Linked DNA regions of Elephas maximus indicus. The protein of the gene in region 1 interacts with the protein of each later gene in a pairwise test. Links are inferred from orthologs where the notes say so. Each region holds a gene or a part of one and is shown on either strand. Other genes may lie near its edges. The genes, in order: TSGA10 and ZNF410.

The links.
Region 2: the proteins of TSGA10 (region 1) and ZNF410 interact in binary tests that used the Homo sapiens proteins (3 or more experiments, as listed by UniProt). The two-hybrid records come from large-scale screens. The link is inferred for Elephas maximus indicus from reciprocal best matches to the Homo sapiens genes TSGA10 and ZNF410.

What each region holds. Positions count from the first base shown.
Region 1 is NC_064835.1:86,618,803-86,635,768, reverse strand, and holds the start of TSGA10 (testis-specific gene 10 protein), read right to left. Parts: upstream 6,377-16,966; 5' UTR 6,311-6,376; coding exon 6,254-6,310; intron 1-6,253. UniProt on the Homo sapiens protein: Plays a role in spermatogenesis. When overexpressed, prevents nuclear localization of HIF1A.
Region 2 is NC_064828.1:86,616,315-86,633,008, forward strand, and holds the start of ZNF410 (zinc finger protein 410), read left to right. Parts: upstream 1-9,778; 5' UTR 9,779-9,836; coding exon 9,837-9,869; intron 9,870-10,936; coding exon 10,937-11,072; intron 11,073-13,855; coding exon 13,856-14,074; intron 14,075-15,349; coding exon 15,350-15,541; intron 15,542-16,694. UniProt on the Homo sapiens protein: Transcription factor that binds to the sequence motif 5'-CATCCCATAATA-3', and is specifically required to silence expression of fetal hemoglobin in adult erythroid cells.

The DNA.
Region 1 (16,966 bases):
CTAGGAAAAAAAGTATACTTTGCAGCAGTTGGGTGGAGAGTTCTGTATAAGTCAATGAGGTCAAGTTGGTTGATTGTTGTAAGTAGGTCTTCCGTGTCTCTATTGAGCTTCTTACTGGACGTCCAGTCCTTCTCCGAAAGTGGTGTGTTGAAGTCTCCTACTATAATTGTGGAGGTGTCTATCTCACTTTTCAGTTCTGTTAAAATTTGTTTGATGTATCTTGCAGCCCTGTCATTGGGTGCGTAAATATTTAATATGGTTATATCTTCCTGGTCAATTGTCCCTTTTATCATTATGTAGTGTTCTTCTTTATCCTTTGTGGTGGATTTAACTTTAAAGTCTATTTTGTCAGAAATTAATATTGTTACTCCTGCTCTTTTTTGCTTATTGTTTCCTTGATATATTTTTTTCCATCCTTTGAGTTTTAGTTTGTTTGTCTCTCTAAGTCTAAGGTGTGTCTCTTGTAGGCAGCATATAGACGGATTGTGTTTCTTTATCCAGTCTGAGACTCTCTGTCTCTTCATTGGTGCATTTAGTCCATTTACATTCAGCGTAATTATAGAGAAGTATGTTTAGTGTTGTCATTTTGATGCCTTTTTATGTGTGTTGTTGACAATTTCATTTTTCCACTTACTTTTTTGTGCTGAGACGTTTTTCTTTGTAAATTGTGTGTTCCTCATTTTCATATAGTATTTGACTTTGTTTGCTGAGTTGTTACATCTTTCTTGGTTTTTATTTTGAGTTATGGAGTTGTTATACCTCTTTGCGGTTACCTTAATATTTACCCCCATTTTTCTAAGTAAAAACCTAACTTGTATTGTCCTGTATCGCCTTGTATCCCTCTCCATATGGCAGTTCTATGCCACCTGTATTTAGTTCCTCTTTTTGATTATTGTGATCTTTTACATATTGACTTCAATGATTCCGTTTTGAGCATTTTTCTTTTTAATTAATCTTGTTTTTGTGATTTCCCTATTTGAATTGATATCAGGATGTTCTGTTTTGTGACCCTGTGTTGCGCTGGTGTCTGATATTATTGGTTTTCTGACCAATTTACTTTGGTATTTCTTGTAGCTTTGGTTTGGTTTTTGCAAATTCTCTAAGCTTGTGTTTATCTGTAAATATCTTAATTTCGCCTTCATATTTCAGAGAGAGTTTTGCTGGATATATGATCCTCAGCTGGCAGTTTTTCTCCTTCAGTGCTCTGTATATGTCATCCCATTGCCTTCTTGCCTGCATGGTTTCTGCTGAGTAGTCTGAACTTATCCTTATTGATTCTCCCTTGTAGGAGACCTTTCTTTTATCCCTGGCTGCTTTTAAAATTTTCTCTTTATCTTTGGTTTTGGCAAGTTTGATGATAATATGTCTTGGTGTTTTTCTTTTTGGATCAATCTTAAATGGGGTTCGATGAGCATCTTGGATAGATATCCTTTCGTCTTTCATGACGTCAGGGAAGTTTTCTGTCAGCAGATCTTCAACTATTTTCTCTCTGTTTTCTGTCCTCCCTCCCTGTTCTGGGACTCCAATCACATGCAAGTTATCCTTCTTGATAGAGTCTCACATGATTCTTAGAGTTTCTTCATTTTTTTAAATCCTTTTATCTGATTTTTTTTTTCAGCTATGTTGGTGTTAATTCCCTGGTCCTCCAGATTTCCCACTCTGCATTCTAACTGCTCGAGTCTGCTCCTCTGACTTCCTACAGAGTTGTCTAATTCTGTAATTTTATTGTTAATCTTTTGGATTTCTGAATGCTCTCTATGGATTCTTGCAACTTATTAATTTTTCGACTATGTTCTTGAATAATCTTTTTGAGTTCTTCAACTGCTTTTTCAGTGTGTTCCTTGGCTTTTTCTGCAGATTGCCTTATTTCATTTCTGAGGTCATCGCTGATGTCTTGAAGCATTCTGTAAATTTGTTTTTTATATTCTGTATCTGATAATTCCAGGATTGTACCTTCATTTGGGAAAGATTTTGATTCTTTAGTTTCGGGGGTTGTAGAAGCAGTCATGGTCTGCTTCTTTATATGGTTTGATATCAACTGCTGTCTCCGAGCCATCACTAAGATACTGTAGTGATTTATTCTATATTTGCTCACTGAGTCTTATCTTGTTTTGTTCTCTTTCAATATACGTAGATGGGCTACTAGATTGCGCTGTCTTGACTGTTGTAGCCCTTGACTTACTTATGACCTATTACCAGCTGGTTTGGGCTGTTACCAGATATATAAGCCTAAGAGTCCATTCACTATTCTTGAGTAAAATCTGATTTTGGGTCATCAAGTGTGTGATGCACACTGTCACCTATCCACTTTGAGAAGTAGTGGTGATAGTTGTGTGCACCAGATTCTAGTAGCAGCTGGGGTTCACACTCCGGGGCAGAGCAGGATGCTGACAGGCTTCCCCCAAGTGTCAGTGAGGTAGGTGTGTCTCTATTCCTAAAGCACCTTGGTGGGTGGGCTCTGCAGCTGTACCTTAGGCCCCCAATGCAAGTACCTCTACAGATTGGAAGGTGTCACCCTCCTTAGACCCCTAAGGCAGGAGGCTAGGTGGTCAGAGGGGAGCTTCAGCCCTCAGTTCCCTGTTGTGGGTCAGTGAGGGCTCTGTTGAATACGCAGAGATATCAGATCTGGGAAACTTGTCTTTCCAGTAATCAGCTAAAACAAATGCAGTCAGATCCCTGTCAAAAATGCCTTTGCAGTATAATAGCCACCTTGTTCCCTGTAGGGATGAAATCCCGAGACTGTGGATCACATATGCTTGGCTGGAGCTGGTTCTGTGTTTTTAGTCCAATTAGGGAAGGATTTTTCATCCCTGGGTTTTTTGTGGTTGCTTCTCTCAGGCCAGAAGAATGGGTTAGGAAAGACCGAAAAAAAAAGGAAAAGAAAAACCGCAGAGCAGTTCTCCCTCTGGCTCAGGAAACTGCAACGTTAATGAAGCCACCTGGGAAAGGGAGGGGAGGGTTCAGATAAACAGGAGAGAGTAGCACCCTGGAATACAAACAAAGTTACTTATCTTGCTTGGGATGACTGTTTTATCTGAGATTCCCAAGGGGCTCCTGTGTGCACTGGCTGGGTAGAGATTGCCCCCGAGGGTCAGGCCCGCGTCCTGTGCTTGCGCTGTCTCAGAAGCCACGGTCAGTTCCTCCGCTGCCAGTCCAAAGCCCAGCGTCAAGGTTCCTCGGCTGGGACTCTGCACTCCCATCTCCAAAAACAGTCGCTGCCTCCCGGGGACTTCTCCTCCCGCCAGGTGCATCACCGCACCTCCTGTACGGACCAGCTGGGCCCCGTCCCGAGGTCAGTTCAGGGGGATGGGGCTGCGCCCCGTGTTTGCGCCGTCACAGGATGCTGTGCTCAGCTCCCTTGCGCCCAGTCCAAAGCCCCACGCCAAGGTTTCCTGACTGGGACGCTGGCTCCAGGCTCCGAAAACTGTCGCTGCTTCCCCGTAGTTGTTCGTTCTCGGTCTCTGTCACTCAGGTCAAGTCTTTAAATCTGTGTTTGTTGGTCAGGGTTCGTAGATGGTCATGTATGTGATCAATTCACTTGTTTTCCCGAGTCTTTGTTGCAAGAGCGATCCAAGGTAGCGTCTACCTAGCAAGCCATCTTGGCCCCCCTCCTCAACTATCTGGAAACAACTTTTAAACCCTGATCCCATGAATCTTTAAACAAGTTTAGCTCAATTAATAAAGAATGTTTGCCTTGAGCATTGTGCTTTTAAAATATGATCTATATGAGATCAAATTCACAACTATAACTCTAAAGCGCAGATGAGAACTTTAAGGGGCAGAGAGTCTAAGTTAACAGTGGTGAAACGATACGGGCAAAGAGACCGAGGATGATGACACGGTGTGGAGTATGCAACCACTGTCACTGAATTGTACATGTAAAAACTGTTGAACTGGGTATATATTCTGTTATACATATTTTCATCAGAAATTTTTTTTTTAATTTAGAAGAGCTAATCAATGAATGAGAGTAAAGAAAAGGAAATGGAAAATGTAAACTACTTTTAGAAAGCATGGTTGTGAGAGGAAGGGAGGCAGCTAAAGTTGGAGGAAGACCATGGTTGTGGAAGGGTCATTACAAAAGAAGACAAACATGTTCCTTAATTCTCTTTGTGTTAAGAACCCCTTTCTGAATTGAACAAAACCCCCAGATCTTGCCTTCAAGAAAATGCAAATACACACAAAACTTTACCATTTAAGGTATTCAAAAACTCCCTATAAGAAGTGCTGGTGGGACAGCCGCTAAGTGCTTGGTTGCTGACAGAAAGGTCTGCTAACTGAATAGTCAGCGGTTTGAACCCATCCAGCGGCCCTATGGCAGCAAAGACCTGGTGATCTACTCTTGTAAAGATTACAGCTTAGGGAACCCTATGGGGCAGTCCTACTCTGTCATATAGGGTCGCTATGAGTAGGAATCGACTAGACAGCACACAACAGCTCCCTAAACACCTTGGACACCAGGTTAAGAAACCCACCAGTGCAGAAACAAAGATTTCTTAAGACATACCTTAATGTGAATTAATGGAGAAAAAAACCCTGAGGTAATAAGAGGAAACACAAGGAAAGGATATGCATTGTACTCTGAGACAAAAGAGAGAAAAGCAAGAATAGGCAAGAAGGGGCAGACATTTGAAGGAGTTCCTGCCCAGTTGAGTCTTATTTTTTCAGTGAAATAGGAGATAAGGTCATGTGCAAAAAAGTATCAGTGTTGACCAAAGTATCTGACACATAATATGTGCTCAACAAATGTCTATTGAATTTTTGGTAGAATAATGAAAAACAGTGGTGTACTTTATATGGGATTCTGAAATCTGGCTCCACAAAAGGTCAACAAGGATGGACTTTTTGCTTTCTCTTTTAAAATTGTCTTCATATGGAAGGCTCATAGCAGTTTTGCTCATAATTGCCATGACTGTAAAAACCTGACTGTCTACCAGCAGTAGATAAATTGTGGTTTACTCTTACAATGGAACACTTACCAACAAACGACAAGCAACAGCAAGGGTAAATCTTAACACACAATGTTAAGTAAAGAAGCACAATGAAAAGACTTAGTACAATTCCAGATACATAAAGTTCAAAAACAAGCCTAACCACAGTGTGCATGTTCACAAAGGTGGTAAAGCTATCAGGAAAACCATAGAAGTCAGAATAGTGCCTACCTCTGGGGAGGACGCTGTGTGATGGGAAAAGGAGGTGGATAATAACACCTGCCCTAACTGCCTCTGTATATGGAAAGCTTTAAAATCTAATGACCCTAAAACATACTTGTCTCAAGTATTTAAACTGAATAAGACCACACAGGAAGAAAGCCCAGAGAATCTCTTCCCCGATTATATACTGGGCTATCAGCAGTGTTTTTTTTCAGAACGTAAATTTAAAAAAAAATGTATTTTAGATGCTGTCGTTAAATAATACTAAAGTTTAGGGTTTAAAATAAATATTTCATTAATGGGCCTTCCTAGTTATTTCCCACTAAGAGAGAAGGCGACAGGAACCAGTTTCATACTGGAGACAGGTCTGGAAGCTGTGTCACCTTACTTTTACATGTATAACTAATCTATTTTATTCCAGTTACAAATCCATTGGTATCCTACTTATTTCATTAGGGAAAACCAAGTGTACTTGAAACGCTGAAAACCAGCAGAGGAAACTAAAAACAGTATCCTAGGATACCAAGGCCTGGTGTGGAAGAAGGCAAACACCGGGGAACGCTCTGCTCTAAGCAAACTTATCCTGAAGCCTTGATTCTTGGCTTTATTTAAAGAAAAAAAAAGTATTCGTATGCGTTTTTAGGTATCAGGTCCATGACCACCGAACACGTATCCGATTCGGTTTTAAATACTTTTTTAAAGAACAGGCGGTTTACGCAGCCTGTCCTGTGCAGTATACTTCCTTCCGCGCCTGGCCTCCCCACGTCGGTGAAGCCACAGGCTGGGAGTCAGCAAGAGCCGGGCCGGGCTCCCGAACACCCTGCTCCACGCTCTCGGCTCCACGGCACAGCGCCTCTGGCCCAGCGGGCCCCAACAGCTGCGGCGGGACGCGACGCGGTCTCCATAGGAACTGGGCCCGGCCCCACGCCCCCGGGAGACCGCGACGGGGCAGAGCCGGCCGTGGGTCCCCGGCCGGCCGCCCTCCTGGGGGTCTCCCCCCCGGAGCCGCCTCCCCCCCCCGGGGGCCTCCCCCCTCCGGAGCCACCTCCCCCTCCCCCAGGAGCGGCCTCCCCCGGGCCGGCGAGGCCCGCGGCTTCCACCTGGCGCTCCGGCTCCCTGGCCGGCGTTCCGGGCCCGCCGTCCTCCCCGGCGCTCATCCCCGCGACTGTCCGGCCGGGGCCTCCGCCGGGCGCCCGAGACCCGGCCCGCCTCCATACCCCGCCCCGTCCCCGCCCCTCCGGCCCCAAATCCGCCGGGTGCCGAGTGCCGGGTGCCGGCCGCAGGAGGCGGGGCGGTTAGCGCCGCCTCGGCCCCGCCCCACGCCCTGTACCTCAGGGGGCTCGTCCTCCGCCTCCGGGTGCCTCCACGCCGCTTCCGTGCCGCGCGGCCCCGCCCCCCGCGCACGCGTACCAGGCTCAACACGCCCCCTCGCGGGAACCACAAGCCGTGCGCGCGCCCGCGCACGCAGCGACGCGTATCACCCCCTGCTGCCTGTCCGGGCGCCGAGAGGCCGCTTCCTGGTCCTCCGCGCCGCGCAGGCGCATGCCCACGCCCCGCCTAGGCGCCCCGCCTGCGCGGCCCCGCTCTCCCGCGCACGCGTACCAGGCTCAACACGCTCTCTCGCGGGAACCACTAGCTGTGCGCGCGCCCGCGCACGCAGCGACGCGTATCACCCCCTGCTGCCTGTCCGGGCGCCGAGGAGAGGCCGCTTCCTGGTCCTCCGCGCCGCGCAGGCGCACGCCCACGCCGCGCCTAGACGCCCCGCCCGCGCGTCCCGTCTCCTAGTAACCGGCCTCGAGCCCCTTTTCCACGAGGTGCTTCTCGTTCTCTGCCAGCTGCTCCCGCACCTGGATAGAACGCGCATGCGCAGGGCTGGAGCTCCGCTGTTGGGAGCATCGGCTGTTTTGTGGCCACAGCTTTGGGCCGCTTGCACCGGCGAGCAGGCGCGGGTCTGGGCTCACGTTCAGTGGACCGGCCAGTTCTCAGAGCTGCCCGTGGGCTCCGGGAGGTTGGTGCGTTCTCCTGCCGCAGCCAGGCGCCTGTTTGGGGGGAGCCTCCCAGCTCGGGGCCTCCTGCTTGCAGCGCTCCGGGAGAGGGCAGGCCCGTCCCGGTGGAGGGGACCCCTTGCAGTCTAGGGAGCCTGCGGACCCACGGCCGGGCCAACCCTGCAGCATCAACTCGGGGTTGAATCGACAAGGGGCAGGGCTAGCAGTGAAAGATTCCTGCGCGGTAGTCCTGCAGCACCTGCCAGTCCTCTGACTCCCCGTTGCAGAAAAACTGGTGACGATTAACGAAAAGGATAGGTATACAGCCACACTTGGTATTTCTAGTTCGTCGATTGTCGTCCTGTTTAATGTCACTTAAACGTGTCTTCTGAAACTGGGGCAGTTCTGCTCTGTCCTATAGGGTCGCTATGACTCGGAATCGACTCGATGGCACTGGGTTTGGTTTTATCCGGTTTTCTCTCAACTGGGAGCTTTCAGTCTGGGAATAGTCACTTCACCCGGCGTAATATTATTTTTGGCCATCCAGCTACGTTAAAATTAACTATATTACCTTAAGGTAGAGAGGTGAGCTTTTTAGTGAAAAAGAATGAGCATTGCATTATATTGCCAATGTTTTGGAATCCAGCTTAAAAAGTATTCTTAACTTTTCTTAGTGTTGAACATGTCCCATCTGTTTAAGCAACCCAAGAGCTTCTGAACTGTAATGGTGACTTCATCTCCCATCTTTTCCTGCAGATGAAAGAGACACTGGATTTTTACAGGAGTCCTCTGATGATGTAGTATAAGCCTGTGCGTTGCAAAAATAGGCGCACGTTAGAAGAGACTAACAGTTCCTGTCTTTGCCAGGTGAGTAATTTTTTTCCAAAACATATTATTGGTAGGCAATTTTTATGTTAGAACTAATTTCGTCATAAGGTACATTTGAACATAAGTGCCATATGCATTGCCAGTCTCTGTTCTGATTTTTTCGTTATTTGTGCCATTACATTTTCTCATATTTTGTAGCATTTATTTTCAGATACCATGCAGTTTGTATTAAATGCTAGCTACTAGAAAATTTAATTGAGTGCCTTTGTTATTTTAGATAAAGAGGTCAGAGTCCCAAGGAACATACTTCCTCTGAAATACAATTACATCTAATTAATAAAATGTGCCATCAAAGAACAGGCTCTCAAAGACTCTCATGAAACGTTATCTTAGGGGGAATACTGTATAATCTCTTATTTCCTCTTCAGGTACTAGGATTATTTTGAATAAAAGGTCCTCAATATTTAGCATTATTGAAATAGGAAAGAATGTACTAACTTTAAAACTATCAGTTGGAGTTGAAGACTTGGAGTGGTATTAATTTAGGAAGCAGGAAAGTACTTCTCTTCCGGGAAGAATAACAAAAGTTTAAGTGTTTATGTATGCCACTGGATGGTACTGAAGATTCCTTGGAAAGAATGTAGGGAGGAGATCATTTTAAGGCCAAAACAGGGTGTACAGATTCCTTTTTTTTTTTTTTTCCCCTTATCAAGGACTATTAAATCTCCTTCTGTAACCCAAAAAAAGTGAAAAATTTCTTCCCTTTATGGAAACCCAAGGAGTGGTGAATGCCCCTAGCAACTAAACCTCATTTGGTAGTTCAGCTCTCTCCCTTCTGACAGACACGCCTCATCAACCTTAGAGGTTGGGGTTGTCTATTCCCTCACTCTTTCTGTCATTTCACAAACTTCACTACAAAAACCTGTTTTACCTCCTTTTTTTTTTCTCTTTTTTCCTGTCTCCCTGTTGTCCCTCCCCCCCCCCAAAGAAAAGTCTGGGACTCCAGTTACATGCGTGTTAAGCTACTTGACCATTGTCCCACAGCTCACTGAAAAACCTGTTACCGTCGAGTGGATTCCAGCTCATAGTGACCCTATAGGACAGAGTAGAACTGACCCATAGGTTTTCCAAGGAGCATCTGGTGGATTCGAACGCTGACCTTTTGATTAGTAGCTGTAGCACTTAACCACTGTGCCACCAGGGTTTCCCACAGCTCACTGGTGCCCTATTTATTTCTTTCAATTGAATGCTAACTGGATGTTACTGCTATTTTTTCAAGTTCACTATTCTTTCCTTTGGCACTGTTAATCCCATCCACTGTATTTTGCATCTCTAGAATTTTGATTTTTTTTAATATCTTCTATTTCTCAACCTAATCATATTCATGCTTTACTCTCTACTTTGTTGGAGATATGAAATACATTTAAAATAGCTGTTTTAAGATTCTTGTATGCTAATTCTATCATCTGTGTCATTTCTGGATTTATTTCTATTAACTGACTCCCCCCGCCCCCCCAGTTAGGGGTGGTGTTTTCCTGCCAGGTAGTTTTTGATTGCTTATTGCAATTTTTACATTGTTGGGTGTTGGAGTTTTTATTATTTTTTTGTTTGTTTTTTTCTTCAAGTATATAGGGTCACTATGAGTCAGAATCCACTCTATAGCACTGGGTTTGGTTTTGGGTTTATATTTGGGCATGTTCTGAGATGCAGTAAGATTACTTGGAAACAGTTTGGTACATGAGAGCTATGCGGTCAAAAATAGTAGCCACCAGTTACATGTGGAGGTCAGAACTCCAAAACGAGGTAGGCTGGGCTAAAACAGGAGCTCTGGGTGGCACAGTGGTTCAGAGTTTGGCTGCTAGGCAGCAGATCTGGTTTTTGGGTTTGGTTGGGCTAAAATAAAAGTTATATCAGGGCTGCATTCCTTCTGGGGACTCAGAGCGGATCTGTGCCAGCTTCTACAGGTCATCTGCATTCCTTGGCTTGTGGTCCCTTTCTACCTTCAGAGCCAGCAATGGCCAGACAAGTCTTTCTCACATTATGTCACTCTAACACTTGCACTCCTGCCTACCTCTTTCACTTGGGTCTTTGTGATTACATTGGAACCACTCAGTCCAGGATAATCTCCTTAATTTTACCTGAACCTTTTAATCCCCCTTGCCAAGTGCAAAATGGTCGGAGTAGTAATAGAGTCAGAACCTATCTAACTTAAAGGCAGGGGATGAGGGATAATGAGAATCACCGTCAGCACAAAACTGATTCCGATGAAGTAGAAGTCAAACATACCTCCACTCTCAACATTTTTATCAAATCTGTCACCAGCCGTTCCTCCCACAGCACTCTCTACTTCTGGGTTCAATAATCCATTGCAATGGACACACAGGACTCACAGACCATACTTACAGTTCAGTGGTTTATTGAGGAACAGGGTACAACTCAGGATCAGGATCAAAAGTCTACAACACAGCATCAGGAAGCAGGTAGGCAAAGTCTCCCTTCAGTGCAAACCTCTCTCTCTCTCTCTCCCTCTCTCTCTTTCTCAGGACAGTTTCCTCTTGGCCCTGCTGTCTGTTGCTGCCAGCTCTGCCACTGGACCCCTTCTGGGCCTCTCGGTGTCTTCAGTGTTACAACCTTTGACCCGTGTTACAGTTCTTTTAGAAGGTTCCTTGCCACCTCTCTGTTTCTGCTTCTTCTCTCTTTTCTTTCTTCCTTCTGCTTCCATTCCTGTTTCTTTCTATCTGACAAACTTCTGTGGGGTTTTTTGGCTGCTTATATACACAAACTGCCCAAACTCTCAAACTTCAATTTCAGGGCATGGCACTCCCACCAGGGCCACAAACAGACCAATCCCCTCTTGGGAGGCCACAGACACTTCATTTGCATAGTAGGCTACAAACACTTAATTTGCATAGCCTATTGACCAATCCAGTCCCTGCAAGGTGCATACCAGTCCCAGGGCAAGCTGCAGCCCAGAAGCAGACAAAAAGTATCAAACCATAAGTTGTTTACAGTTACCCAGAAAATGTTATTCAACCTGGACAAGAGTAACAAACCTTCTAGGGTAGAAAACTGGGGTAAAGTTGTCTCCTTAGGGCTTAGGGGAAAAAAAATCTCTGAAGCTGTTTTCCAAAGAACCAGAGTGAAAGGTCACATAAAGGAACTCATTTCACCACACTAAGTAACACAGCATACTCAGAAATTCTGAGGATTAAGATGTGGACACCTGCTTTGGGGGCTGTCTTAATTATCCAGTGGTGCTACAACAGCAGTATCACAGGAGGATGGCTTTAACAAAGAGAAAGTATTCTCTCACAGTCTGGGAGGCTGGAAGTCCGAGTACAGGGCGCCAGCCCAGGGGAAGCCTTTCTCTCTCTGTTGGCTCTGGAGGAGGGTCCTTGTCGTCAGTCTTCTCCTAGTCTAGGAGCTTCTCTGCAAAGGGACCTTGGGTCCAAAGGACATGCTTGCTCCTGGTTCTGTCTTGGTGGTAGGAGGTCCCCATCTTCTCTGCTCCATTCTCTCTCTTGTATCTCAAAAGAGATTGACTCAACATACAGCCTAATCCTATAGATTTTCCTGCCTCATTAACATAACTGTCTGTAAACCTACCTCATTAACATAACTGCCTCTAATCCTGCCTCATCAACATCATAGAGATTACAATTTACAGCACATAGGAAAATCACATCAGATCATAAAATGGTAGACAACCACACAATACTGGGAATCATGGCCTAGCCAAGTTGATAAACATTTTGTGGGGACACAATTCAATCCATAACGGGCCATTATTCTGCCTACCACAGCTGGGGATTAAAACAAACCCAAACTCATTGCCGTCAAGTCGATTCAGACTCACAGCGACCCTATACGACAGGGTAGAACTGCTCCATAGGGTTTCCAAGGAGCACCTGGTAGATTCAAACTGTCAGGCTTTTGGTTAGCAGCCGAGCTCTTAACCACTATGCCATGTCACCAGGGTTTCCTCCTGGGGATGAGATATGTAGAAAATCTAGGTTTTACTCAGAGATTGGCAACAACTACAGCGTGTTGATCAGATTTGGAGTGCTGTGATTTGGCTTGTGTTTTAAAAGGCTCATTCCTGATACTGTTTGAAGAATGTACAATGGGGAGGGATGGGCAGGGGTGGAAGTAGAAACAGATTCACTGAAGGATTGGATGTGGAATAGAAGGTAAAGAAGGGCGTTAATAATGATTCCACCAACAGTGTATAAGGTTTCCTGTCAACCTGCATTCTCCTTGTACTCGGTACTATCCACCTTCTAAAGTTTATCATTCTGGTTCTTCTAAACTTGATGTCTCTAGTTACTAGTAAGTATGAACAGCTCTTTGTGTACTTATCTATATGGGATTCCCCAACCTGCGAATTACGTCTTTATATTCTTTGCCCGTTTTTCTATTGGGTTTCCTTTTTCTTGTTGATTTATAGGAGTTCCTTTCATATTCTAGTGATGAAATCCCCTGTCAGTTTTGCACATAGCAAATACCTTCTTCCAGTCCCTTTTCCATCTTTTTAACTCTCTTTACTGAATAGATGTTCCTAATGTTGAATAGTCAAGGCCATCTGTTTTCCCCCCTTATTATTTAAGCTTTTTAGGTTTTATTCAAGACATTCTTCTCCACTCCAAGGTGATAAATATATTGGCCTACCTTTTCTTCTATTGGTTTTATAGTCCTGTGGTCACATTTAGGTTTTTAATGCATTCGGAGTGTATTTTTGTATGTAAGATAGGGGTCCTGCTTTATTTTTCATCCACATAGTGAGTCAACATTAATTATCTTATCATACTAAACATAGTTTGTTCCATCCTCTTTGCTTTATAAAGTTAAACCCATTGCTTCTGAGTCAATTCCAACTCATAGTGACCCTGTAGAACAGAGTAGAACTTCCTCATAAGGTTTCCAAGGCTGTAGTTTTTATGGGAGCAGACTGCCACACCTTTCTCCCATGGAGCAGCTGGTGAGTTCGAACTGCTGACCTTCAGTTAACAGCAAGGCTCTCTAACCACTGCTCCACAGGACTCATCCGTCTGCCTTATAGTGCTTCCTTTATCATATGTGAAGTTCTTACACATACTTAGGTCCATTTTGCAGCTTTGGTATATTCCGTTGGTCATTTATTTGTTCCTGTACCTGTAGTAGATTGTTTTTGTAGCATGTCTTAATATTTGGTAAGGCAAGTCTCTTTGTTCTTTTTTGTCCAAATTGATTTAGCTCTTTATGGACCTTTATTCTTCTATAAGCATTTGATATTTCTTCTTGAATACCAACCTGAATGCCAGACCAAAAAAAAAGAGGCCCCCAAATAGACTTGCTCTCTTCGTGTCCACAAGACCCTGGGGGAACTTAAGGTGAGATTTATAGAGCCAAATGTATCCTATTGCATTTAATTTCTTCTCACTCCCTTTTTTTGAATGATGTGTTAATTAGTTTATAATTATGTGTTATCATTATATTACTTTTGTTGACTTCAAATGTAGTATGTTGTCTTATAGAGTATTGTTGACTTTTATACTTTTTTAAAATTTAGTATTTTGTAAAAGTTTAAACATACAGAAATGTTACAAGAATGATAAATTGAACAATTATTTTTTACCTCCTAGATTCAACACATGTTTACATTTTGCATACCTTATTTTCTATAACTGAACAGTGAGAGCAAGCTGTAGATCTGATCCTTCACCTCTGTTCTAGTATGTACCTCCTAAGAACAAGGATATTCCCTTACATAACCAGAATACACTTATTAAATTCAGGGAATTTAACCCTGATGCAACATGATTATCTAACAAACCATCCACATTCAAATTTCTCCAGTTGTCCAAGGAGTGTTCCATATATTACCTTTTTTTTTTTTCTTTTCCAATTTAGGATCATTCACCGCATTTGGAAGTCCCCTCAGCCTCCTCTTACCTAGAACACGTTCTCAGCCTCTTTTTGTCTTTCTGACACTGGTGTTTTGAGGAGTACAGGCCATTTGTTTTGTATCTTTTTGTCTTTCTGACACTGGTGTTTTGAGGAGTACAGGCCATTTGTTTTGTAGCATGTCTTTTGGTTTCAGTCTCTGTTTCCTCATTTTGGAATTCAATTTACACATTTTTGGGAGGAGTATTTCCTCTTTAATTAATTAAAGAGGAGAAACCATAGACCAGAAGGCACCCACTTTTATTAATTTGAAGGTAGTGTTGGATATTTATTTGATGAGGAAAAAAAAAAAAAAACACTTTTGAGTCCAAATCTAAGAAACAGGTATACCTACATTTAGAATTCCATCAGAACTCTTTAAAAACGTAGCTACATTGTACTTGTAGCTAGAGAGCCAAATCCATACTCTTTTATCTAACTGATACAGCAACAACACTTGAATAACTTCCGTATTTAGAATACAATAGTCGGCCCAGGACTGTTCTGTTACAGGTTAGGCACAGACATTAAGTCACAAATATGGATGAACAGATCTCCAAATATCTTTAGAAATTTTCAGTCAGTAAATGACTAAAACTTGATGGAGACTGAATTGTAAACTGTCAAAAGATACCACACTGCTTAAATATTGAAGACGAGATTATAAAGGTAGGTTAATACTTTCACAGCTGTGACATCCGCTCCAGATGTCACATTGAGCATCTTTGGGAGATCGCTATTCTCCAGCAAACGCTGGTGATTCTGCAGTCTTCGCTGTCTTCCCTGTGCCAGAAAGCCTGTCCCCTGTGCCATCCTGGCCAACTCTGCTTACCAGTTCCTACACATCTTTCACCGCCCAGCCCTGGCCAAAGCCCCCTTCATTTGGGAAACTTCCCAGGCTCTCCCTCCATGTTGCATGCTTATCTCTCTTAACAGATTGGGCAACCTTAATAATGAATAAGTATATGGACCTTGGTGGATGGAGTACTTAGGAATCAAATCAACTACTCCATGGAAGGAAACAAAGGAGTAGTGCCAGATGATCAGTCAAAACAAAACCAGGTGCCAAATGTGGAACTGACCATCAGTTACTCACGTGCAAGTTCAAGATGAGGTTGAAGAAAATCAAAGCAAGTCCATGAGGGTCAACGTATAACCTTGAATACATCCAGCCTGAATTTAGAGACAATCTCAAGAACAGGTTTCAAGAACCAAATACTAATGACCAAAAACCAGAATTGTGGGAAGATAATCAAGAACATCATACATGAAGAAAGTGAAAGATCATTGAAAAGACAGGAAAGGTGTCTATATACCAGCAATGAGAAATCTGAAAGGGAAATTAGGGAAACAATCCCATTTACAACATCATCTAAGAGAATAAAATACCTAGGAATAAATCCAGTCAGGGATGTGAAGCACTTATACAATGAAAACTATAAAATACTGCCCAAAGAGATTAAAGGAGACTTAAATAAATGGACAGGTGTTCCACGTTCATGGATTGGAAGTCTTAAGATGTCAATACTGTCCAAAGCAATCTCTACCTCCAACATAATCCCAATAAAAATTCCAACAGCCTTCTCTACAGAAATCAAAAAACCAATCCTCAACTTTATACAGAATGGCAAGAGGCCTCACATAGCTAAAGCAATGTTGGAAGAGAAGAACAAAGTAGAAGTCACACTTCATGATTTTAAAAGAAACCTGGTGGCATAGTGGTTAAGTGGTGCTCCTGCTAAGCAAAAGGTTGGCAGTTCGAATCCACCAGGCACTCCTTGAAAACTCTATGGGGCAGTTCTACTCTGTCCTATAGGGTCGCTGTGAGTCAGAATCAACTTGATGGCACTGGGTTTGGTTTTTTTTAATACACCTACAGTAATCAAAACAGCCTGCTACTGGTGTAACAATAGAAACATTGACCAATGGAATACAGTTGAGAATACAAAAATAAACCCATACATCTATGGTCAACTGGTTTTTGACAAGGGTGCTAAGTCCATTTGATGGGGAAAGAAGAGCCTGTTTAATAAGTGGTGCTTGGAAAATTGGATATCCACATGCAGAAAAATGAAACAGGATTCATGCCTCGCACGATACACAAAAACAAATTCAAAACGGATTAAGGACCTAAATGTGCTAAGTAAAATCATAAAATTCTTAGAAGAAAAAGCAGGGGCAACAGCGTCAGGGCTAGCTTTTAACAGTGGATTATCTAAAATAAAAGACAATAAATGGACTTCATGAAAATTAAAAACATTTGTTCATCAAAAGGCTTTAACAAAAAAGTAAAAAGATGAGCTGGGATAATATCTTTGGAAACCATGTATCTGACAAAAATTTAATAACCAAATATATAACTTCAACAATTTAACAAAAAAAAGATGATCATAAAATGGGCAAAGGAAATGAATAGACATTTCTCCAACAAGGACATTCAAATAGCCACCAAACACATGAAAAGATGCTCAGCGTCATTAGCTGTCAGAGCGATGCAAATCAAAACTACAATGCAATATAATTTTACTTCCACTAAGATGGCTAAGATTAAAAATTATATAACAAATGTCGGTGAGGATATTGGGAAATCAGAACACTTACCCATTGCTGGTGGGAATGCAAAATGACACAATCGTTGTGGAAAATACTGTCGGGGTTCCCAAAAAAAAAACTAAAAATAGAACTACCATTTGTTGTTAGGGGCCGTGGAGTTAGCTATGTCTCATAGCCATCCTATGTACAACAGGACGAAACACTGCCCAGTCTTGTGCCATCCTCACAACCATAGCTATGCTTGAGCCCACTGTTGTAGCCACTGTGTCAGTCCACCCTGTTGAGGGTCTTCCTCTTTTTTGCTGACCCTTCGCTTTACCAAGCATCATGTCCTTCCCCACGGACTGGTCCCTCCTAATAATGGGTTCAAAGTACATGAGGCGAAGTGTTGCTATCCTTACTTCTAAGGAGCATTCGAATGGTTGTACTTCCTCCAAGCAGCACTTATTCATTTCTTTGGCAGTCCATAGTATATTCAGTATTCTTTGCCAGCACCATAATTCAAATGTATCAGTTTTTCTCCAG
Region 2 (16,694 bases), on another chromosome or scaffold:
GTAGAACTGCCCCATAAGGCTTCCAAGGCTGTAATCTTTATGGAAGCAGACTGCCACATTGTTCTTCCAAGAAGCAGCTTGTGGGTTCGAACCACTAACCTTTTGGTTCAGCCAAGTGCTTAACCACTGTGCTACCAAGGTTCCTCTAATAAGGGTCAAGTGCCCAGCAATTGTCCAGGAGAGAAAAGGGCACCTTAACCCACAGTCCTACCAAGAATGTATCCAATGGGGAAGGGTAGATCCCCAAACAAAATGTGGGTCCCACAGGAATGAATGTGGGACAAGCAAAACCAATAAGTTGTTCATTGTAAAGGTCAAGTAAGATGAAGACAACAAGTGTCCATTGGTCTTGGCAACATGAAGATCATTGGTGACCTTTGAAAGAGAAGTTCTGGTAAAGTGATGGGGGTTGAATATTGACTAGAGATGAAAAAGTGGAGACAATTGTATTGGTAAATTTGGCCCTGAAGGATTGCAGAGAAATGGGGAGATGACTAGAGAAAAGATTGGGCTGTGGGAGGGAATGGAGCACCTCAGAAGATCCTGGGAAGAGAAAGCAGGCCAGGATGAATCCTAGGACTTCTCTTAAGATTCATTCTGCTTCTGTAATCCTATGTTCCAGGTTTCTTTCAAAGTACCCATCTTAGCATTAGAATTTAGTCAATTTCCGTAACATGCTAGGTATGGTATAAAAAGTTGCCTGGTTTTTCTGTTCCCAACTCTATCATTTTATACCAAAATTCACATTGCTTTTTTAAAAAAATTTTATTTTTGGTCTCTGTAATCCACTACCATCAGAATTTTTGTTTAGTTTTTAAATGTTACAGAGTTGTTTGGTTCTGTGCCCGCGGTCAGCCAAAGGTAACAATGGATGGAGCTGAAAAGCAGATAGACCGTGGTCAAAGAGACCAGGCCTGATGGTAGAAATTGTGTGCGTCATTCTAACTTCTATGAATGGTGACCAATTGGAGGGAGCACAGTGCTTCTCAGTTTTTTCCCTCTTTTTACTCCTTTCCCCCACCCTACCTCTTTCCAAAAGTGGGTCAAGGTCAAGGCATTTTCTACCTCCCCCAGTTAGAGCAGTACTGCTATTCTGAGCCATGTTTTCTAGGGTGGAATCACTGCCTTTTACAAGTTGGCCCAGGGAGGTTCTGTTTCTTTCATGAGGCAGAATAGTAAAAATAAAAGTCCCTGGTTATTTTTCCTTGTCGGTACTCTTCCTTCTATGTGGCAGTCAGGACTGAGTCAGGAGACCTTTACTGGCTCTGTTCCCATTTGGTAAGTTTACTTTGGCGTGGCTTTTCCTTCCTATATTTCCCTGTGTAACCTGTGTTGGTTCTAGGTCATCTCTGCCCTAGGTAAATGGTACCTCCACTGATTTCTGTTAGTATGCGAGAGTCCTACATTGGAGTTTGGGACCAAAGACTGGTTAATTATAAGAATTGTTTTGCCTTTCTTTCGTGACAGTTGCTAAGCATGTAGTATTTCCCTCTGCAAACCTCACAGGCAGGGCCTGAGGACAGGATTCAAGCAATCTCAATTTCATCAAAACTCCCATTAATGAAAATTGCTGATCGTATTTAATGTATATTTATAGTATGTTTATATCTATACCTTTACATTGTATGGCTGATTCTTTGTTTAACGTATGTATTTTAGACATTTGAAAACCCTCTAGTAGTGTTTTCTGGTCTGTGGGACATACCCGTTAGTAGGTTATGAGATCTGTTTAGTGAGTTTTTTCATTTAAAAAAAAAAGTGAAAAAAATCAGAGTGCATGTGATTAATTAAAGGTTAATATTGTTTCATGAAAATGTTTCAGTTATTTGTGTGTGGGGGGTGAGTTGTTCTTTCCTTCTCTGGATTATGGTGTAAAATGTATTTCTTACTGTGGATTGTAGTAAAAAAAAAAAAAAAAGAAAAAGAAAAAACCACTTTATTTAAGAAACTTGAACTCAGTAATACAAAGCAGAGTTCTTAAACAGCCTCTTGTGGTATATTAAACATTTGGCAGCTTTATTTGTTTCTTAAGTACTTTTATGCAGAACTTTGTTTCTGAAGAATTCTGTATTTCTGTTGACTGATACAAAGAGCCCTGGTGGTACAGTGGTTAAGCACTTGGCTGCTAACCGATAGATTAGCAGGTCAAACCCACCAGCCACTCCATGGGAAGAAGGTGTGGTAGTCTGCATCCATAAAGATTATAGCCTTGGAAACCCCATTGAGCAGTTCTACTCTGTCCTCCAGAGTCACCATGAGCCAGAATTGACTCAACAGCAATGGGCTGGATCATTGACTGATTCATAAATAATACTAGGAAAGTTCCATTTTATTTTGCATTCCAAATGAGTGTCTTAGGGCTGAGAAAATGAAACCTTACCCAGGTTTCAACAAACAAGTGAAAGAATTAAGATTTCTAGCTTTAGAGACCTTGGATTTTTTTTTCTTTAAGAGATTATCTTCTTTAATTGACTAGTTCAGCTACTTAGTGTATATGCATAATTTGCACGATGTTGACTGTACTGTAGAAAAAGAATGCAGCTTATCAAACTTCGGTTCCCAGGGTTTCTTTTTCTTCGGCTAATAACAGAAGGAGAGTTGTTCTCAGAATGGACCTGATCACAGACATCTCTGGTGTCCTAAAGTAGTAGCTTGTAATGAGGCCAGTTCTCTCATTACTTACTTATTCCCAGAACTTTTCAAGGGTTCTTGTGTTCTTTGCTTTGGTTTGTATTGTCTGCATTCTTTTTAACCCCTAGGCTGTCTATGGAATAATATATTCAATAATAGCAATGGTAGGATTAGTGGATTTTTTTTAATGCATATGATAGACCAAGGTTATTTTTTTAACCAGTATAATATGCATTGTTAACCCAAAGGGAACCATGTTTACTTACTAAAATTTAGGTTATCAAGATTGTGTCAGTTGTTGCCAAGGGTATGGAGTGAAAAGGCTCTGAGCAATACTACTTAGACTGTTCTCTGAGGTCAGTTTGTTTTATTGTGAACTCTTTATCCTTAGCCAGGATTCCGTATTTATGATTTGTGGAAAATATGATTTGATGGGACTGGCCTCATGGTTGCTGATGGTTAAATGTCATTGTCTCTTTTATTATTTATGCAGCTAAATTAATAATTTCTCTGTTTAAAAGGAAATAAGGATATAAAGCTTTGCCTGCCCACCAGCTAAAGATAAAAATAAAAATGAACAAATATTGCTGTCCACTTTAAAGGACTTTAGATGATGTAGGTGACTGTTCTGTACATCGCACTTCTAATCTCTTTTTTAAATTAATAGGATAAGAAATCCTGGGAAGAAAGTTCCTCTGAGACCCATAATTATCTTGAAAATAGTTTACCTTTGAGTAGGAACAGTGTCTCACGTCAATGTCATGTAAATTGTATTTAAAGAAAAAAATTGCATTGGATCCCCCCAATACTGGCAAATTATTTTTATTATAATTACTTTTTAAATATATTTAAACACAAAGGTAGGTATTCCTTATTGCTCCTTAATGCCGAGCCGCTATAGCTCTTAATCAACTATGCAATCAAAACAAATTTACAAATAATTCAGTAATAGGAGTGGCAGGGTCAGTTGATAGCTATTATTTTTTAAATGTAATATATGCTAGACCAAGATTGTTTTCCTAAAATACTTTGATGCACATAGGGTACCAGGAGCATGGTAAAAAAAAAAAAAAAAAAAAAACCCAAACCCGTTGCCGTCAAGTTGATTCTGACTCATAATGACCCTACAGGACAGAGATAGAACTGCCCTGTAGGGTTTCCAGGGAGCATCTGGTGAATTGAAACTGCTGACCTTTTGGTTAGCAGCTGATCTTCTAACCACTGAGCTAATAGGGCTCTAGGAGCATAGTCAAATTTACCATATCAGGGTCTTGTCAGTGGTTGCCATGGATTTGTATACATAGAAGTGAGGGTGCAGGTGTGAACAGCACCATAAAGCAGGAAAATTCAAGCTAACATTCATATACACCTACTCCTCACTAATTGGCATGGTTAGGTTCCAAAGACCAGGTTGTTATGTGAAAATCAGCATTATGCAAAGGTGAAGGATTTTTTTTCCTGTTTTCAGACTATCGATTTTTCTGATTTTTTTAGAGAATATAATCATAGAAGTAATAACAGCTAATATTACCGATGTGCTCATCACTGTGATGAGTCCAGTTATGGCTTATTCCTCTGCAGAGAAGGAGGTTTGGGGGAAACAAAGCTGGATAAAGCTGGGCTGTGTGACTGGAGGGCCAGGCTTAACCACTTCACCTTCCTCCTTTGTTGGGTCAGAGCTCCTCAAGGAGCTGCCTCCAGGGCTCCACTCCCACCCCTGCAAACCTTGTGTTTAGGAACCTGGAGCCGCCTCTGTTCTCCTGGCCTGGTGGGTCACTGAGGCGCAAGGTCACTGAGGCTCGAGGCTTCCTGCAGGGCTGGACTGGGAACCTTGCCACGCATTGGGCACCACCCAGGTAGAGGCTTCAGGCCCAGTTCAGCTCATTTTGGGATGTCATTAAACTAGCACTTATTTATTCCAAACACCCTCTCCGATGCTTTTCTTTCCTCCCTTCTCACCCCACAGCAATTTTAAGCTGCGGGGTCTCAGGCTGCAGAGGAGTTGGGAACCCAGAACAGGTCCCTGCTGGCTTGGTGCTGCCTGTACCTCCAAAGCAGCAGGAGGGAGCAGAGAGCATGGGGCAGCATGACCCAGCTTCCTGGAGGCAACTGAGAGACCTTCCTTGAGGCAGAGGACTCCCCGAAGCTGTAGCCCCCATACCCACCTGCCTCGTTAGTTTGCAAGATAGTCAGATTTTTACTGTTGACATAAATGCGAGATGATAATGAGTTGATAAGTGAGTAGATGTAGTGATAGAAATGTTGTTTTCCTGAAATGAAGTAGTTAATAGTACAGTTAATAGTGGAAAAATTTAGCCTTAGTGTTCAGTAATATATTTCATCAGTTTCTATATTTTAACTTTGGTAATATTAAAACAGAGAATTCTGTGCTATTGTTGGGTGCCGTCAAGTTGATTCGGACTCATAGTGACCCCATGTGACAGAGGAGAACTGCCCTCATAGGGTTTTTTTCTAGGCTATCATTTTTACGAGAGCAGATCGCCAGGTCTTTCTGTTGCAGAGCTGCTGGGTGGGTTCAAGCCTCCAACCTTTTGGATAGCAGCGAGTGCTTAACTGTTGTACCACTAGCACCTTTCAAAGAATATTATATAAGGTAGTATTTATAAGTGAGGCATTGGTGGTTCAGTGGTAGAGTTCTTGCCTTCCATGTGGAAAATCCATGTCTGATTTCTGGCCAGTGCACCTCATGTGCAGCCACCATCCGTCAGGGGAGGCTTGCGTGTTGCTTTGATGCTGAACAGGTTTCACTGGAGCGTCCAGACTAAGATGGGCCAAGAAAGTCCTGGTGATCTACTTCACAAAACCAGACAATGAAAATCCTGTGGATCACAACAGTCCAATCAGCAGCCAGTCATGGGGATGGTGCAGGACTGGGAAGTGTTTCATTCCATTGTGCATGGAGTTGCCATGAGTCTGGGCAGCTAACAGCAGTATTTATTAATGTCAAGGTATTGTTTAGCAGTTAGTATGATCAGAACTCATATTTAAGCAAGACTGACGATGAGCTATTCTTGAATGTCAGTTTTAATGAGGTGTTTGATAACTTTGTAGAGTTGCCTCGTTCACGTGATGCATTGCAGGCATAAAGGCAAATCACAGAATGGGAGAAAAGTTTTGCAAATCGTTTATCTGATATGGGACTTGTATCTAGAATATATAAAGACCTTCTTCAACTTAATAATAAAAAAAAGCTCAGTTATGAAATGGATCAAGCATTTGATTAGGCATTTCTCCAGAGAAGATAATCGTATGGCCAATAAGCACATAAAAAATCCTCAGCATTATTAGCCATCAGGGAAACGCAAATCAACACCACAATGAGATAGCACTCCACACCCACTAGGATAACTCTCTCAAAAACACAGATAATAACAAGTGTTTCTGAGGATATAGAGAAATTGGGACCTTCATATACTGGTGGTGGGATTGTAAAATGGTGTAGCTGTTTTGGAAAACAGTTTGGTATTTTCTCAAAAGGTTAAACACAGAGTCACCCTACGAAACCAAACCAAACCCATTGCTGTCGAGTTGATTCTGACTCATAGCGACCCTATATGACCCAGCAATTCCATTCCTAGATATATGTACCCAGAAGAGATGAAAACATATGTCCACACAAAAACTTGTACATGAGTATTCATAGCAGCATTATTCATAATAGCCAAGACACAAAAGCAACCCAAATGGCTATCAACTGATGAGTGGATAAATAAAACGTGCTATGTCTATACAATAGGGTATTATTGGACAACAAAAAGAAATAAAGCACTGATACATGCTATAACATGGATGAACCTTGAAAACATTACATATGCTAAGTGAAAGCAGCCAGGCACAAAAGGCCACTTATTATATAATCTCCTTTATATGAAGAGTCCAGAATAGGCAAATCCATAGACACAGAAAGTAATTTAGTAGTTGCCTAGGCCTGATGAATGGAGGAGAGATTGAGTGCGAGTGGGCAGTGACTGCTAATGGGTATGGGATTTCCTTTTGAGGTGATGAAAATGTTCTGAAATTGATTGTGGCTGTGGTTGCACAACTTTGAATATACTAAAAACAATTTAATTTTACTCCTTAAATGGATGAATTGTATGGTATGTGAATTATATCTCAGCAACACTGCTACTAAAAAAGATTTGCATTTCAGAGTTTTTGGTATCTGTTAAATTGGGAATCGAATTGCACATTTGCCATTACTGTTCCAGCCAATGTACATAGCAAGTTGTTGTCTCAAAGATGAGATAGATCCACGTAGTATACTTGGTGTGGTACGAGAGTGCTCCAGTACCGGTTGCTCCAGTACGGGTTCTTCTGAGTTCAGCCTGCGTAGTCAGCTGCACCCCACTCTTCTCTGATTTGTTCATACAGCACACATACAAACCAAAAACTTGAGCACCGAAAACATACATTGGTACTCAGTTGCAATAGTAGATTCCCAGTTTTTCCAGAAAATGTTTAAGCCATTTTTTAAAAAGATGTCATTGAAATGAAAACACTAACATAAAAAAATGTAGATAACTGTGGAACCCTGAGAAATGGTGATGAATCTAGAGGTAGCTCTTAAAACTATAAGAGAAGTGGTAGCTCCCTACCTCTGTTGAAGTTGAGTATCACCGATTTGCAAAGTGGTGGTAGATCTAATATGTCCGGTTTTTCCCTTACTCATTGCACATATTCATATATTTCACTTTTTGTTAGATAAGGATAACAAACCTATCCCTGGAGATAATGCTGTCAGTTTCCAAGAAACTTAACAAATATTACCAATACCAGTTGCCCTTGAGTCTGTTCCAATTCATGGTGGCCCCATGCATGTCAGAGTAGAACTATGCTCCATGGGTTCTCAATGACTGATTTTTCAGAAGTAATCACCAGGCCTTTTCTTCTGAGGTGTCTATGGGTGGACTTGAACTGCCAACCTTTACATTAGCAACTAAGCCTATTAAGCATTTGTGCCATCCAAGAACTCCTAACAAATAAAAAGGATGGTAAATGGTTGCCTAGTTTTTTAGATATTTTATAATTCTGGAATCTCGAAGTTGGAGGAACCTTCAGGATGACCTGAATAAACATTTGGTAATTTCTTGGTTTGTTGAGGTAAGCTGGAGTTGAGGAAGAAGGATTCTTAGTACCTAGAGATTCAAGATCAAACCTAAAGACATATAGTCATATTCATGCCAACTAGAAATTGGACTTACTGTATGGGTGGAGTAGTTCAGAAGTCTCAGCCACAAGTTTTATTTTATTGCTGGCTAATCAGTTTTTTTTTTTTTTAATGAGTTAGGAATCAGAAAAATTACCAAGTCAACTAGGGTAGGAACTAGGGTTGAGAGAAAGGACTGTATTGCCAAGATGAACCTTATTTATATCTAATTAAGGAAAAGAGTAGTGTAATACAGAAAAGAACAAAAATAAGTGTACAGCTTAATGAATTATCCCAATTACATGTTTGTATAACCACTGTCCAGGTTCGGAAATAGATACATCTTATTTTACTGATTTCCTTCTGAAAACATTTATATTTAGGGATCATTTTTTTAAGGATACTAGTAACAACACTGGATCTACAGTTTTGGAGACTTAGGAGTCCTGGCTGCAGCTTAATAACTTGGCTGAGTGATGTACTGAGCCCTGATTCCTTCCTCTGTAAAAAGAGGAATAAGCCACATAGATTTGTTGTAGGGCTTGAATAAGAAAAGTGTCTGTGAAAGGGAAAGTTAGAGATTGTGATAATTTATTTTATGTGGGAAACTTAAAAGAACACTTTTAAAATAAAAGAGCACATCTTGTAAATTGGTATTTCTTTATGATGAAAAATTGGGATTTCAGGTAGCTAGCAAGGGATGGGTGGGAGGAACCAACAGTACAGTAAACCTTTATTTATTTATTTAGAATAAGTCTTTCTTATTCTGACTTTCCATTCTACCCTGGTATTAATTGAAAACTCCCATCCTTGGTCCATTTTACACAGTGCGATTACCTGGTACATAATAGTGCTCCAAATTTTAACAGTTGTGCAAAATAAAGTCGACTCATCTGCTAAAATCTTGGGGAAAAAATTGACCTATAAGAAAGTAAGGGTTTAAATTATGAGAGGAAAACAAACAGCTGCATCAAGATCCTGAGAACACTACCTTTGGGAAATACAGTTCAAAATTTGACTGCCTGTATTTCTTTTAATGTAAGTTTTTTAAAATGATGAAAACAGTATAGCTACCTTTTAGACAATTTGGGAGATAGAGAAAATAAAAATAAATGATACTAGCCTACCAGCTGATAGAACTACTGTCATTGCTGTGTGAGTTTCCTTTGAATTTTTTCTCTGCATATATTAAGAGGTTTTAAAAATAGCAAATGTATAATTTTATATTTTATTTTTGTAATTTAACACGTCATAAGGAGCCCTGGTGGCGCAGTGGTTAAGTGCTCAGCTGCTAACCAAAAGGTCAGCAGTTCGAACCCACCAGCCGCTCTGCAGAGAAAGATACAGCTTCTGTAAAGAAGCCTCCTTTAAAAATTACATCGTTGGAATTCTATGGGACAGTTCTACTCTGCCCTGTGGGGTTGCTGTGAGTTGATACTGACTCTACAGCAACAGATTTTTATTTTTTTAACATGTCATAAGCATTTTTTTTTGTTTCATCATCTTCATGACCATATTTTTAAGTAACAATGCAGTAATTTAATCACTTCCTAATTAATGGATATATATGTGTATTTGTATGTTGCTTCCGGTTGTTTATTTTCTCAGATGATAAGATGAACATCCTTGGGCATACAGCTTTTTCCATATTCAGGACCTCTTAGAATGGATTATTAGAAGTAGAAATGCTGAATCAAAGCATAACGTTTTTATGGGCTTTGAAACCTCTTGGACTTGTTCTGTTGTAACATGTTTTGGGCTGAGTTCTTCATTTGCTTGTTTATTTTGATATTTGGATATACCTGTGAAGAAGTGTCTGTCTTTGGCCTTTTTAGATATATTTTCCACTGCTCTTAACTCTCTTCCTCTTCCCCTCTCCCCCATTTTAGGCTGAATTGATGTTCTGCCTAGCACAGCATCTAACTGCAGGAGCATAGCATTTTCTAAAGAAATATGAGCATAACAGGAAGGTGTCATTGACTCTGAATTAAATTTGAACCTGTCCCCTGAATAGCTACAGGATTTGGAAGCTGAATCAATGTTATCAGATGAGTTAGAATCCAAACCAGAGGTGAGCCCAGTCGTCCTTTTATTTTGATAGGCTGTATTCCAAAGTTTATCCTTGGTTGCTGGGGTCAGTAAACTTTTTCTGTAATGGGGAAGATAGTAAATATTTTAAGCTTTGTGGGCCATACAGTTTTGGTCATAGCTACTCAACTCTCCTGTTGCAGTGCGAAAGCAGTCATACACACTAATGAGCGTGGCTGTATTCCAATACAAAGTTTATTTACAACACTGATGGTGAACTGGATTTGGCCCAAGGGCCATAGTTTGCCAACTCTTGCCTTAGTTTATTATTTTTCCATTACTAAGTACTTTCAAAGATTTAAAAGTACTGTTTTTATCTTTTATGACTTTTTATATTTGTTATTAAGTGTAAAATTATTATAATCAAGATATTATAAAATGAAATTTATATATGTGTGTGTGTATTCATTTTTCTCACTTTAATGTTAGTGCATCTCTGATGCATAATGGAAAGGTTGCTGAATGTAGAATTAGATTACTTAAGTTGGAAGACTGGTATTGATCTTAACTAGCCATGTGAATTTAGACAAATCACTCAATGTCTTCAACTTGATTTGTCATCTGAAAAATACATGTTTAGTCTTACTGGGTTGCAGTGAGGATTATATGAGCCAGTTCACAGAAGAGTGCTTTGTAAAATGTAATCAATATAATACAGTTGAAATTTTTTAATAGCCATCATTTAAAAATGTAATTATTTTTATCATTTCTCTGATGAGAGGTGACAGAGGTTAACATAATTATAAAATTCAGCCTTTCTCCAGAACAGAGGACTTGATAAATAACTTTAAATATTATGTTATAGTTACTTTAGTTTTTCTATGAATAAAGGCCTAGATTAGTGAACAGTCAAGACTTAATTACTACATTTTATGCAAATAACGTGCAGATTATGCCAGAACGGTTTTAATTTCATCATTTCTGTGTGTGGTATGTGTGGCTGGGTTGTTTGCAAAAATATGGTATATCACTTTTTGGTAAAGTCAAAGGCTTAGATCCATACCCGACAACCTGTATTTCTCAGTGTTGCCTTTTTTTACCCCTCTTTAGCTCCTGGTACAGTTTGTTCAGAATACCTCTATCCCATTGGGACAGGGACTAGTGGAATCAGAAACTAAAGACATTACTTGCTTGTCCCTCCTTCCGGTGACTGAGGCCTCAGAATGCAGCCGGCTAATGTTACCAGGTAAAAACTGAGATCACTAGAGATAGGATAATGGAGTCCTAAGAGCTTAGCCTACTGTATGGTACCAGTGGAGTGGGAGAACTGACTTTATAACTGACTGGTGGAGATTGTAAAAATTGGGCGTCATGGAGAAAAAAGCAATCATGGGAGTTATAAATGCATTGGTAGTTTAAGCCATGGGAATGTATGTGATCACCCCCGGAGTGTGAGAGTGAGAAGAAAGGAAGGCCAAGAGAAGAATGCTATAGAACTTCCTATTGAAGGTATAGAATGAGGCAGAAGAGCCTGAGAAGGAACGGCTAGGATATTAGGAAGAATATCAGCAGAGTGGAAGCATGGAACCTTAGAGAATAATTAACATGTCAGAAGCTCCTGAGAGGCCCAGTGAAATGGAACTAAAAGAAGGCCATTATTGATCTTGATAGGAGCTGTTCCATTGAGTGAAGGGAGTAGAAAGCCAGGGTGCAGTGGGTTGGGGTATTAATACAATATATTCCACTCAATGTAAGTATAGTTGAAGAGCTAACTATACTTTCTAAAGGCTCTCCTGTGACAGGAAGGAAAAGAGAGGCATGTAAGGTAAAGGGAAGAATTTTGTTTTTGTTTTAGATGAGAGGTATTTTTATGCTAAAAGAAAAACACCAATTTATAGAGAAGCTGCAGACAGAAGGAGAGAGTGGATTATGGGTGACAAGGTCAGGAGCAGTAAAAAGAAGTAGAATGCTGAGTATAGGTAGTGAGATTAGCTTTGAATGGAAAGAGGGAGATCTCTACCATTAGAGTCATCATTGAGAAACCATCCCTCAAGGTTTTAGGGGAAGTTGTAAAGGCAATAGATATATTCCTTGCCCTTAGGAGCCTTAATAAATAATGGAGGATTTTTATCGTTTTTAAAAAGACTTCTTGAAAAGGAACTGTACATTTTTAATTAACATTCTAATGAGTCATTCATCATTTGTTCCTTTTTAAGTGAAACCCATGGTAATAGTTCTGGGCTTAGTGAAAACAGAAGGGCCAGTAGTGGGGGTTGGCTGTCTATCCACTGAGACCTATTGCACCCTATTAGCAAGGAGAACGTTATTTTTGGGTGCTATGAAGTCTTTATTTTCTGACCCTTGTTTTTAATGTTTGGAATGTTAATGTTAAATCAGGGGAGGGCCAGTATTGTTGATGATGACTTATTTTGTTTGTTATAAGTTCTACAGGTTACCATTCCCTAGTGGTGTCTTAGTTATCTAGTGCTTCTGTAGCAGAAATACCACAAGTGGATGGCTTTAACAAACAGAAGTTTATTCTCTCACAGTCTAGGAGGCTAGAAGTCTGAATTCAGGGTGCCAGTTCTAGGGGAGGGCTTTCTCTCTCTGCTGGTTCTGGGGGAAGGTCCTCATCATCCATCTTCCCCTTATGTGAGAGCTTCTCATCACAGGGACTTTAAGTCCAAAGGAAGTGCTCCACTCCCAGCTCTTCTTTCTTGGTGGCATGAAGTCCCTCTCCTCTCTGCTCGATTCTCTCTTTTATATTTCAAAAGAGATTGACTCAAGATACAACCTAATCCTGTAGATTTGAGTCCTGCCGCATTAACGTAACTGCCTCTAACCCTGCCTCATTCACATTATAGAGATTTGGATTTACAACACATAGAATAATCACATCAGATCACAAAATGGTGAACAACCAGACAATACTGGGAATCATGGCCTAGCCAAGTTGACACATATTTTGGGGGGACACGACTTAATTCATGAGAAATGATGTTCTTTTTTCTTTGATTTTTGAAGTCCCTTTAAAACCCTTTTCAGTTTTTAAAGATCCAAGAAGGCTGGATATGTCCAACGAACCAGTGTTTAAAAGATTTTCCTATCTAGTTCCTAGCTTTCCCATATCTTTCCTCTCTCAATTCCTATTTTTCTGCTTGTATGTTGGGGGTCATATTTTCCAAATCCCTCTGAATTTGCAACATGTGGCAATTTTCAAGTGTTAATAAAATTCGATCTTCATTAAGCTTGGACATGGCAGTACTGTTCCTAGGCTTCCACTTTTATTCCTATAACTTAACTTATTATCTCACTAAAAGAGGGACAAAGTTACCGCCTTTATGAAGATAAATGAAACTCCAGAAAACATTGGATGCTCCAGCACTGCAGTATGGTTTCTTCTTATATTGCAGCTGAAACCTTTGGAAATTCACCTCTTCCCATAGGACAAGCTTCTTGAGAGCAAGTCTTCTGAATGAATTCTTTAGATCCAGTGTAAACTCAAAAGTATAATGAAACATATTGGTAATTCTATAAGATTTCATTCGTTTCCAAGGCTGTGGTTTTTTTTCTATGACTCATCAGAACTGTCATATGCATCTTATAGAAAGCAAGAGGAGGAATCTACCCCCAAGGAAGATAATTTAAAATGTAGATCCTTTATAAGTTAGTGTTGACTGCATAGATGATATTTTCAAGGGAAGAGCACTTGATTTCTGACCTCAAAAAGGACAGTTCTGTAATGTAAAATAAAGTAGAATGCTGAGCATGTGGATGGTTGGTTATTAGTTACTGCCAAGTGTCAGAGGAGTCTCTTGCTCACATTTTAGCCGACTCCCTTTAGAACTTAAAGCCATCCCCCTGTTCTTGTCTAAGGCAATTTTTATATTTGTAGAATGAAAGTATTATCTGCTTCTATAAAGGTGTTAATACTAGGGGTGCTATAAGGGTATTTGGGGCTGTATATCAAAGTGGTAGGCTTTTTGGAGATAAGTGCTACATAAAGCTGTGGTGTTTTCCCTTTTCTAGATGATACTCCAAATCATACCAACTCTTCCAAGGAGGTCGCTTCCTCGGCTGTGTTGAGAAGCCTTCAGGTGAATGTGGGCCCAGACGGAGAGGAGACGAGGGCTCAGACTGTACAGAAGTCCCCGGAGTTTTTGCCAACTCCAGAGTCTCCTAGTTTGTTACAAGATCTACAGCCAAGTGATAGCACTTCTTTTATTCTTCTTAACCTAACAAGAGCAGGTATTCTTTTTCCTTCCCTGAACTCTGCTCACACTTAAGAAAAAAGTGGGAGTGTATGTATGTGTCCTGTTTTACTCAAGTTACATGGTGGAAAGAAGCTTTATTATTTTGGAGAATTTTTTTAGTCCGGTGACCAATTGAGTGTGTGGAGGGAGAGAGTGGACTCTAGGAGGACTCAATAGTCGCTTGTTTGGGAAACCAGGTGGGTAGTGGGGCTATCCACTGAGATAGTGAGCACAGGAGGAACAGGGCTTGGGGGAGGATGATTAGTCCCACTTTGTGCCTTTTGATGTTGAGATTTCTCAGGGACATTCAGGAAGAGTTGTCCTTTAGAGAGTTAGAAACAGGAATCCAGAGTTCTGGAGAGAGGTCTAGGGTGAGATACATAGCTTTGGTCCTTACCAGCATTTAGGAAGTATATGGAACAATGGGCATGGATTTGTTCACTCAGGAGGAGTCTGGAGCATCAACTAAAAAGAAAGCAAGGCTGGGACCCTGGGGGGGAAAAAAAACATTTAAGAGGGGGACAGAAGAATGGGAAGGAGCAGCTAGAGTAGGAGGAAGAGACAGGGAGAAAGTGTGAGGGAAGCCAAGGGCGGAAAAAATTTTAAGGAAGGAAAGTACTAGAATCGTGGCAAATACTACAGGATGGGCTTGTGAGACGGACTGGGAAGTGTGTGTCTGGTGACCTTAGCAAGAACAACTGTTATTGGGGTAGTAGAGGCGGAGGCCAGGGTTAAAGAGAGGAGGAAGTAAATGGAAGGTAAGAAATTGGATGCACAAGTTGGAAGGTACTCTTGTTCAAGAAACTTGACTTTGAAGGGCACAAGTGAGAAGGTAATAGCTGTAGAGGTACTTGGAGTTTTTTTTTTTTTTTTTAATAAAGTTGGGAGAGACTTCAGCTAGAACAGATTAAAGGCTGCAAGGGAAGACTGGCCAATAGAGAGGAATAGGTCACAGACAGGAGAGAGGAGATACCTGAATGTGACAGATACAGGAGAGGATAGCTGAAGAAAGAGATTGGAATACCAAAGGTAGAGATAAGCCTGATGGCCAGGAAGGAAAACTTTGCCCCTGAAACAGGAGGAGGCAAAGTAAAGACAAGCCTGTATGCTGAGGGTAGAAAGATGATGACCTAATTATCTATGAGACAGAAATTTGAGGTGAGATGAAGACCTGGAATAGCTGATTCAGGACATGGAGTGTTTCTGAGCCAAGGCAGATAAAAGGATTGCTTGATGACTTAATTTTCATATATTCTTTTGTTTCTTCCAGGTCTGGGCTCTTCAGCTGAGCACTTAGTATTTGTACAAGATGCGGCAGAGGATTCAGGGAATGACTTCCTCTCCAGTGAGAGCACAGACAGTAGCATTCCATGGTTCCTCCGGGTTCAGGAGTTGGCCCACGACAGTTTGATTGCTGCTACTCGTGCACAGCTGGCAAAGAATGCAAAAACCAGCAGCAATGGTGAGACCCTTGTCATGTTTTCCTTTCTGGTATCTTGTGCAAAGACATTTTTGACAGTGCAGTGGCTATATTTTGAGTTATTGGAAAGAGCAGAAGGCCAGGGATGTGTGTTGTTATAAGTCTTATCTAAAATGTGTGTGTGTGTGTGTGTGTGTGTGTGTGTGTGTGTGTGTGTACAGGTAAAATAACTTGGCCATGCCAGATTTGTGTGCAGAGTCAACTAACGTTCTCAATTCTTGACTTTAAATAATGTTCCTTTTAAAGGAAGAACAGTTTCTTACAGATACCCAGTGTTATCTTGAATTGTTTTTATTGTGATGTTAAGTATGTAAAAACAAAGAATTATATATAAACTTCTTATAATAGAGCTCCTTGACCTTATCAGATTAAAACAATTTTATCAGTTAATAGAAATAAAACTGCAAACGCAGTGTAAATAAAATTAAGTTACTGTGGCTGACAGTGACGTTTTGCTGAAACAAAATTGCTGCTCATAACAATTTAGTAATTCACTGTGATGACTGTAGTGCTGTTGCTTTGGAGTTCAGTATGTCTGTACGACCTACTGTGTGCCACTTTTCTCTATTCCGCAAATTCTCAAGACGGTCCCTGGATCGATCAGCATCACTGGGAACTTGTTAGAAATGCAGATTCTCAGACCCATCGAATCAGAAACTTTGGAGGGGGGCCTAGAAGCCTCTGTTGTACTAAGCCTTTCTTGTGGTTCTGATACATGGTAAAGCTTGAAAGCCACTCCTTTATTCAAACCCCTCCTAAACCACTGCAAAACATTTGCTTAATGTAGTATGCTTTCTGTCTTAGGACTGCCTCTGTATTTTCTCCTTAACCTGTGGCAATTAAGGTAGTACTGTATGGTTCAATGGAAACCCTGGTGGCCTAGTGGTTAAGTGCTACAGCTGCTACCAAAAGGGTCAGCAGTTCGAATCTGCCAGGCGCTCCTTGGAAACTATGGGGCAGTTCTACTCTGTCCTATAGGGTCGCTAGGAGTCGGAATCGACGCGACGGCACTGGGTTTGGGTGTTTTTGGTATGGTTCGATACTGTTGTTACCACAGACCAAGCTTAAGCACTGAAACCTCACGGCAGTACACAGCTGTGTAGAGGTGACGCAGGTGATCTAGGATATGCTTTTG